2 linked regions of the Mus musculus genome follow. The protein of the gene in region 2 interacts with the protein of the main gene of each other region in a biochemical or structural test. Links are inferred from orthologs where the notes say so. Each region holds a gene or a part of one and is shown on either strand. Other genes may lie near its edges.

What was found. The genes of interacting proteins can lie anywhere in the genome.
Region 1: the proteins of Mapk3 (region 2) and Ptprr form a complex in vitro, tested with the Homo sapiens proteins (2 studies listed by BioGRID). The link is inferred for Mus musculus from reciprocal best matches to the Homo sapiens genes MAPK3 and PTPRR.

The regions. Positions count from the first base shown.
Region 1 is NC_000076.6:116,045,827-116,049,480, reverse strand, and holds part of Ptprr (receptor-type tyrosine-protein phosphatase R isoform a precursor), read right to left. Parts: intron 1,384-3,654; coding exon 1,088-1,383; intron 1-1,087. UniProt on the Homo sapiens protein: Sequesters mitogen-activated protein kinases (MAPKs) such as MAPK1, MAPK3 and MAPK14 in the cytoplasm in an inactive form.
Region 2 is NC_000073.6:126,758,376-126,762,526, reverse strand, and holds the start of Mapk3 (mitogen-activated protein kinase 3), read right to left. Parts: upstream 2,902-4,151; 5' UTR 2,882-2,901; coding exon 2,709-2,881; intron 1,797-2,708; coding exon 1,614-1,796; intron 1-1,613.

The DNA.
Region 1 (3,654 bases), on a different chromosome or scaffold from region 2:
TATATTTATATATATAATCTATATATACACATATATGTATATATATGCATGTATATATATATATGCATATGAAACAAGTGCAGTTCAATTTCATCATGTTATGAATAGGAGTTATCACAAAATAACCATACTTTCACTGAATTATGCTGTCCCTAAAGTCAAATTATTTGAATTTGAACAGAAGTTGAAAAAAACCATTTACTTATAGATTGGTATGAGTTTTTTGCTTTTGTTATCAAGCTTTAAAATGAGAATTTAAATTAGTTCTAAATACAGTTTGGTATTTCAATTCATATATATAGCATGTAACCATCAATAATGTTGAAGGCTTTATTTGGCTTTGTGGCTCAGGGTGGCTTTGAACTCATGACAGTCCTCCTCAAACCAGTATGAGAGAGCACTGGTTAGTATGAAAAACAGATTGAACCACGGAATGGATTTTCATATAACACTTTCACCGCTTGAGAAACTCTGGTTGGGTTATCTACCCTTCTGGGATTATGGTATCATGGAAATGTTAATGCTTGCCCAGGGATATTAGGAATATTATTACAGATCTCTGCCTTCCAACCAATTTTATTTACTCCAGTGACAGAACACTGCTCATCAACCTCCCCGATAAGAACTCTCTGTTTCAATTGTCTCTTTGTTTGTTACAACCGGAGTCAAGAGAATCGTTGGCAATTGCTACTTATTTATACATGTTGATAATAGGCCTATTCTTTAAGAATGTATTACACAGAAGGCAGGAGGCTCTGTATAAGATATGGTCTGCTGTAACAGTAAAGCCTTCCTAATAAAATCTTTATTTCTCCATATGTACATGTTACGGACCATGCCTGTGACATAGAAAAAAATCTTATTTCATGGGGAAGAGAAATAATGAGTAGCAAATAAACCATATCAGAGAATGGGAAATTCCCTGGTAAGTAATCATTGAGACCCAATGCTAAATGTTCACAATTAGTCTCTCTCTTGTTTTCCAGTGTCAGTCACAGAGGGGAACATCAGCACTAGTGCTAACATCAGCCTCAGCATCATTATCAACATCAGGACCAGCATCAGTGCTGGCTAACTTGGTACTTACCACCACAATCACATTTGCTGCTGGAATTGGGAGATTTTCTATTTCAAGATCTTGATCAGACTCAGCCAACAGATTAAGAGACGGGTCATATGCAGGTCTAGGAAATGCTGAATTAATAATCTGGTGATGTTTGCTTATTTGAACTTCGGAAGGGGAGTGGTAGTTATGTTTGTATGCCTCTTGTGCGATGTCCAGGCTCTTCTTGATATCCTGTGAATGGTCATAAATGAACACCGGCTTCCAACTCTTCTTTTGACGAATAGCCAAAAAGTGATCATTGTTTCTGGAAAAACAACCTACAAGACAAGAATCAGAAAGAAATAAAAGATCCTATCCAGAAAATCATATAGAATATATATGTTTGTGGGTTTGCATGCATGTATATTTTTGTGTACTAGGCCATCTTCTGCTACATATGCAGCTAGAGACACGAGCTCTGGGGGGGGGGGGTACTGGTTAGTTCATATTGTTGTTCCACCTATAGGGTTGCAGACCCCTTCCACTCCTTGGGTTCTTTCTCTAGGTCCTCCATTGGGGGCCCTGTGTTCCATCCTATAGATGACTGTGAGCATCCACTCTGTATTTGCCAGGCACTGTCATAGCCTCATATGAGACAGCTATATTTGGGTTTCTTCAGCAAAATCTTGCTGGCACATGCAATAGTGTCTGGGTTTGGTGGCTGATTATGGGATGGATCCCCGGGTGGGGTTGTCTCTGGATAGTCCATCCTTTCGTCTTAGCTCCAAACTTTGTCTCTGTAACTCCTTTCATGAGTATTTTGTCCCTATTCTAAGGAGGAATGAAGTATCCACACGTTCGTCTTCCCTCTTCTTGATTTTCTTATGTTTTGCAAATTGTATCTTGGGTAGTCTAAGTTTCTGGGTTAATATCCACTTATCAGTGAGATGGCAACAATTTTTGATTGTCTGATAGCATCCTTATTTATCATACCATAAAATTACATCTGTTTCTCAGCCTTTCTCTTGACTAAATAGTGCTATGTGAAAATACATCTCCACTGGTAGGTGACTAATGTGAAGAGAGATGTATATAACCTTGCTTTCACCATTAGTAATGACTTAGATGTGGCCAATGCAATAGGAGTATGATATGGAAACCATGTGTTAAAGTGCAACAACATAAAAGAATGCTGCTCTCTGGTAAGAGGAGAATACTCTGGCTGTCTCTGAACTTCTGTGGAGTAGAGAAACAATTTTCAACCTTATTATAGCTGTTGCTATTATAGATGTTTTAGTTATAGCAATTGAGCCTGAACACCAACAAGTACATTCATTATTTCTCCCGTTAGACAAATATTTTTTCAATTTAATATCTGCTGTTCTCGTTAGTTGATAACCGTAGAGGAAAATAGGTATTATATCTAATTTAAAAATCATTGTCTGGCTAATCAACCCATTACAAAAGAAAAAAAAACCCACCGCAATCGACTTTTTGATATTAAAGAGAGGAACAGATTAAAACAGCAATACTAGCAATATAGGTATGCCAGATTTGCCTGTTGGAAAGCAGCCTGAGTAATTACTTCTACATTTAGCATATCTTTTTGTAGACAATTTTTCTTTTATCTTTTATACATTATGTTTTGCCAAGACCTAAAAGTTGTTTTTGTAATTTTGCCTTTTGTGTTCATTCCTAAGGTCACATGTTAGTATCAACATTACAATATAAAACAATGCTTATAATGTACAGACATTGACATATCTGAAAAACAACTGAATTTATGTTGAACCTGTGAGGAAGCTCTAAACTAGAAGTAAATACTTAAAAACTGTAGACATGGGAGTGGGGGAAATGGTGAAAGGCTGAATTCGTTAAGTTTGCTGTGGTAATCATGATGGCTTGAATTCAGAGCCATAGTAACAAGAAAAGCTAATATCATGCCTTGTGCCTGTACTGTCATGACTAGCAAAGATGGAGATAAGAGAAGCCATGGGCTTCTTAGTCAGCTAGTCTAGCTAAATTATGGAGTTCCAGGATCAAGGAAAGACCCTGTCTTGAAAAAAAGGTGAAAAGGAAGACAAAAACACCTTGATCAAAGGTTGATCTCTGTCAACTACAAATACACATACACAAACACAAGCATACAAAAGCACACTCACACAAACACACACACTCACATACACATCATAACCATGTCTTGGAAAAAATTAATGACAACAAGGTCCACCACACACACACACACACACACACACACACACACACACACACACACACACAGACAGACCATAAGCATGCCTTGGAAAAAAAACTGATGATAACCAGGGCCAGTACTTGTGAGGCAGCAACATGAGGATCTGTAAGTCTTTGAGCTCCTGAGTCAAACCTTGTCTCAAAAACTGAGCAAAATGAAACAGTAATTTACAAAGTGGTGGCTTTGCCTAGAGCCTCAGTTGGTTGTCTATGATTTTTGTAAATACAGTGCCCCAAAGTAAACTGGGCAGGGGTGGGTTTATTTTAGCTTACATCCCAATCTTTGAGGAAAGCTATGGTAGAAACCTGGAAGCTGGGATTGAAGCAACAGCCACAGAGGAACACTGCTTCCTGGC
Region 2 (4,151 bases):
CCTTATGGGGATGATTTGTGCCAGAAAGTGAGGAAGACACTCCCCAACAGTGCGCTCCCACAGAGCGCTTGACCATACACCAGAAGGTGGGGAACTAAGAGTCCTTTTATACTTGAAGGTAAAACAAAGATTAAGCAAAAACAAATGGCTTATCTTTGGAAGAATAGTCAGGAGCTGGGTAGAGCACCTCACTCCTATAATCTCAGCACTTGGGAGGCAGGGGCTAGAGGATTGCCTAGAAGTTTAAAGCCAGTCTGGTCTACAAAGTTAGCCTGAGGCCAACCAGGGATACACTGTGAAACTTTCTTAAAAAAAAAAAAAAAAAAACTGAAGTCTGAACTGTCTTCTATAGAAGACATGTAAACTGGGGCTGGTGTCACCCCCAAGGCAAAGGCAGTTGGATCCCTGTGAGCTCAGGGCTAGCCTGATCTACATAGCAAGACCCCTTTCTCAAAAAGAAGAAACGAGGGAATAAGCACCTGCAGATATATACACACAGGGACCAACCCTGCTGCTTTATAAATGTGCAAGTCTAGAGATGCAGAGACCTGCTGAAGGTCATGCAGCAAGACGGGAGTATGTCGATTTCCTGTGGTCAGAGTTGCAGAGGCTGTAGAACAAATCCTGGCATTGGGAGGGGTGGGTAGGGAAAAGGCCATGGGTGCTACCGTCTGCTAACAATGGAGCCAGGCAGGAAGTAGATATGGACAATGAACTGGATGTCTGAACTAGGCAAGTAGTGTCAAGCAAGGGCAACAAGGGCTGGACTAACCTCCCTGGTCAAGGTACAAGTCCACAGGTGATCAGGGTGGGGCTCTCAGAAAGGTGGGAAGGCTCCAGGGAAGCCAACTGGGGGAGAAGAGGAAGCTACTAACAGGAACTGCCGAATTCAGGCAGACTCTCAGGGCCCCTCACCCTTCCTTGAGCCCCCGGCCTAGCCAGGGGCAGGAGTGCAAAGGCTTGGCTCCACCCTGTGACTCTAGGGTCCTCAGGTTCCCCCTCTTAACAATACAATGTGGTTTGAAAGCCTCCACTGCCTCCATGTTGGATTAAGTATCGCCCACTCCCCTTCCCCCTAGAAGGCACTGCAAAACTTAACACAGAGGAGCCTCGGTTTCCTTATCTTTGAAATGGACACAGTAAAACTCATCCGTCACACAGGGAAGCTAGAAGGTTGAATTAGAACCAAAGCACTAGGCCTGCCCAATACCGGTTTTCTTCTTTGCTTTCCATCCAGTGTGAGGTCTCTAAAGAAAGAATCGTGAGTCTGTTGAGCAAGAACAGGCTGTGGGCAGAGACTGGGTCATGTCACAGACCTGCAGATGTCAGAAGACAAAGCTCCCATAGAGATCGTTTTTTCCACAGCATTCTCCCTCCCCACACACCATACTGGGGCACAGAGCAGAAAGGGATGTGTTCAAGGCCACTCCACTTGGCTGCGACAGACCAGGATCCAAGGCCTGCCAGTGTGCTCTCATGCTCTGTAGACTCTCTGCTAAAAAGTTACTTTGCTGGGGTTTTTTTTTTTTGGAGGGTAGTACAAAAGATGACCACAGACAACAGAGCCAAGCTCCCTAGCTTTACTCTGGGGCTGTGGCTAAGGTGAAGGATACACATCTCTCATGGCTTCCAGGGTGGGCGCTCTGAGGATGTCTCGGATGCCTATAACATTCTCATGGCGGAATCGCAGCAAGATCTGGATCTCCCTCAGCGTGCGCTGACAGTAGGTTTGATGCTCAAAGGGGCTGATCTTCTTGATGGCCACTCTGGTCTTGCGCACGTGGTCATAAGCTGAGCTGAGAGGGCCAGAGAGATGTGGCCTTACAAAGGGGGAATCCAGGCCTGTTGGCCCCACCCAGGTCTTGGCAGGGACTGGAGAGAGGAGGAGAGGGTTCTGGCCAAATGTAAACAATGCTGGCTCCTTCCTGCTGTGAAGGCCTGGGATCTCCAGGGGAAAGCTGGGTATCAGCCAGGCAGCCTTTCAGTGACTTCACAAACAGAGGAAGAGAGTGGCCACTCACCGACTTCCTTTCTCCTGGACCCTCTTACATTCTAGTTGCCCTCACCCTCCTCCCCTTTCCCAAGCTGGACTCTCTCAATCCCAGACAGGTCCAGGGGATAGGAGTTAAATGGAGAAAGTAGATGAAGCCTAGAGGATTCAGTAATGGGACAGGAGAGAAGAGATAAGGAGGGGCAGGCAGGTCTCCCTGTGCGGTTCCTGGGTCAGAGCTGCTCCCATAGGAACAAAGGCCCAGAGCAGAGCACACAGTGGGGCAGCGAGAACTCACAAACCCGTATACCACAAAATAAGGCACATTCTAGAGACCCTTCCCTACTTTGGGCCCCTAGCCTTGCCAGGGGCAGAGGTGCAAAGGTTTGCCCCACCCTGAGCTTTGCTCTCCTCTCTCAAACTCTCTGTCACAGCCTCATCAGGGGGGAACCAAGGCTCCCACTACCTGCTCGTGGGTCCCTCACTCCCCCTTCATCCTCTTAGCTCCACCTTTATCTCTAGGGTCCCCCAGGTGCCCCTCCCTTAACAATACAAGGTGGCTTCAAAGCCTCCAACCCCCCTCCCTGGAGAAAGTAGCGCCTAGTCCTCCAGAAGTCACTGCACGATACTTCCCCTGCGACACTCCCTGAGCCCCCCATGTCCCGAGCACACACCTGCTGTCCCTGCTCCGAAGCCCCCTCCCGGGACGCCCCCTCACCTGACCATGCCGTACGCGCCCTCGCCGATGTACTGCAGCTGCGTGTAGCGTGGGCCCACATCGAATGGCTGCCCCTTCACCACCTCCACCTCCCCGGGGACCACCGGGACGACCCCAGCAGTTCCCCTGGGCTCCCCGCCCCCGCCCCCCGGAGCCGCCGCCGCCGCCGCCATCTCCACTCCTCCCGCCTCCCCCCGCTGCCCCGCCCGCGGCCCCGCCCCTCCCTACCGCCCTGTCACCGCGGGGCCGCGCGCCAGGCTCCGCCCCCGCCCCCGCGCGTCCCGCCCCCGCGCCTGCCGGGCGAGCCTGCGCGGGCCCGAGACGTCACATGGTCTCCTGGGCGCGCACCCGGCTTTCCCGCCTAGTTACGCTGTTCCTTCCCTGCCTTGGCCACTAGGGTACTTTAGTCTGCCAAGAGAGTTCTGCAGCCCCAGGGGCCAGTGGCCCTCAGTAATGCTAAGGGAACCCACCCGGCTTACAGTTAACCTTTGAAGACCTGCCTCACATCTTTGTTTCATTTAAACAGATAGTGGTAATCCAGGCTAGCCCCAAAGGCTCTCTATGTGGTGGAGGTTGGCCTTGAACACATCCTCCTGCCTTTAGGCCTGAGCCATCATACAGATTCAGGATGCTACTAGGCAAGCATCCTACCACTGAGCCACATCTCCATCCTTTCTTTTCTCTCTCTCTTTCTTTTTTAAGAGGGTCTCTTGACATGGAACTGGCTGTTCCAGAACTCACTATGTAGACTAGGTAACCAGGCTGGCCTCAACATACTAACTCGCCAGTGCTAGGATTAGTTAGAAGCTGTATGTATCACCATGCCCAGCTTCCATAATTTCTTATTCGTTTATTTGCCACATTTATTAATTTTGTGTGTTGGAGCGTAAGTATGTCACAGAGCCTGTGTGGAGGTCAGAGGACATCTGATTCCTTCCACCATGTGGGTCCCAGGTGTCCAATTCAGGCTGTCAGACTTGGTAGGAGTGGGCCACCCTGAGTTGCTGAGGGAGTATATCTTACGTTTTATAATGAGGAAGCAATCTGGAGGGTGGTGGACGGCAGGCAGCACTGTGAAGCTGTGAAGTCGGTCCTGACTCCAGTGTGAAGACACAGGCCTGCAGGGGGGCTCAGGTGTGTGCTGAGGCCCCAGTGTCGTACAAATCCTCTGCCTGATTGCCCAGAGGACGTGCAACCCAGCTCACTTCACGGGAGAAGGAGGGAAAGGGTGGTAGCTGTGGACAAAGGTAACTAAATCAATTTAAATTCACTGTCACCTTTTCTCTGTCTCTGTCTGTCTCTGTCTTTCTGTCCCCCCCTCCCCCCACGCTGGGCTGGTAAGATGGTTGGGTAGGTAAAGATGCTTGCCAAGCAAGCCCAAAGATCTGAGTTGGATCTCTGGGACCTTCACAATGGAAGTAGAGAATTAGCTCCTGCAGGTTT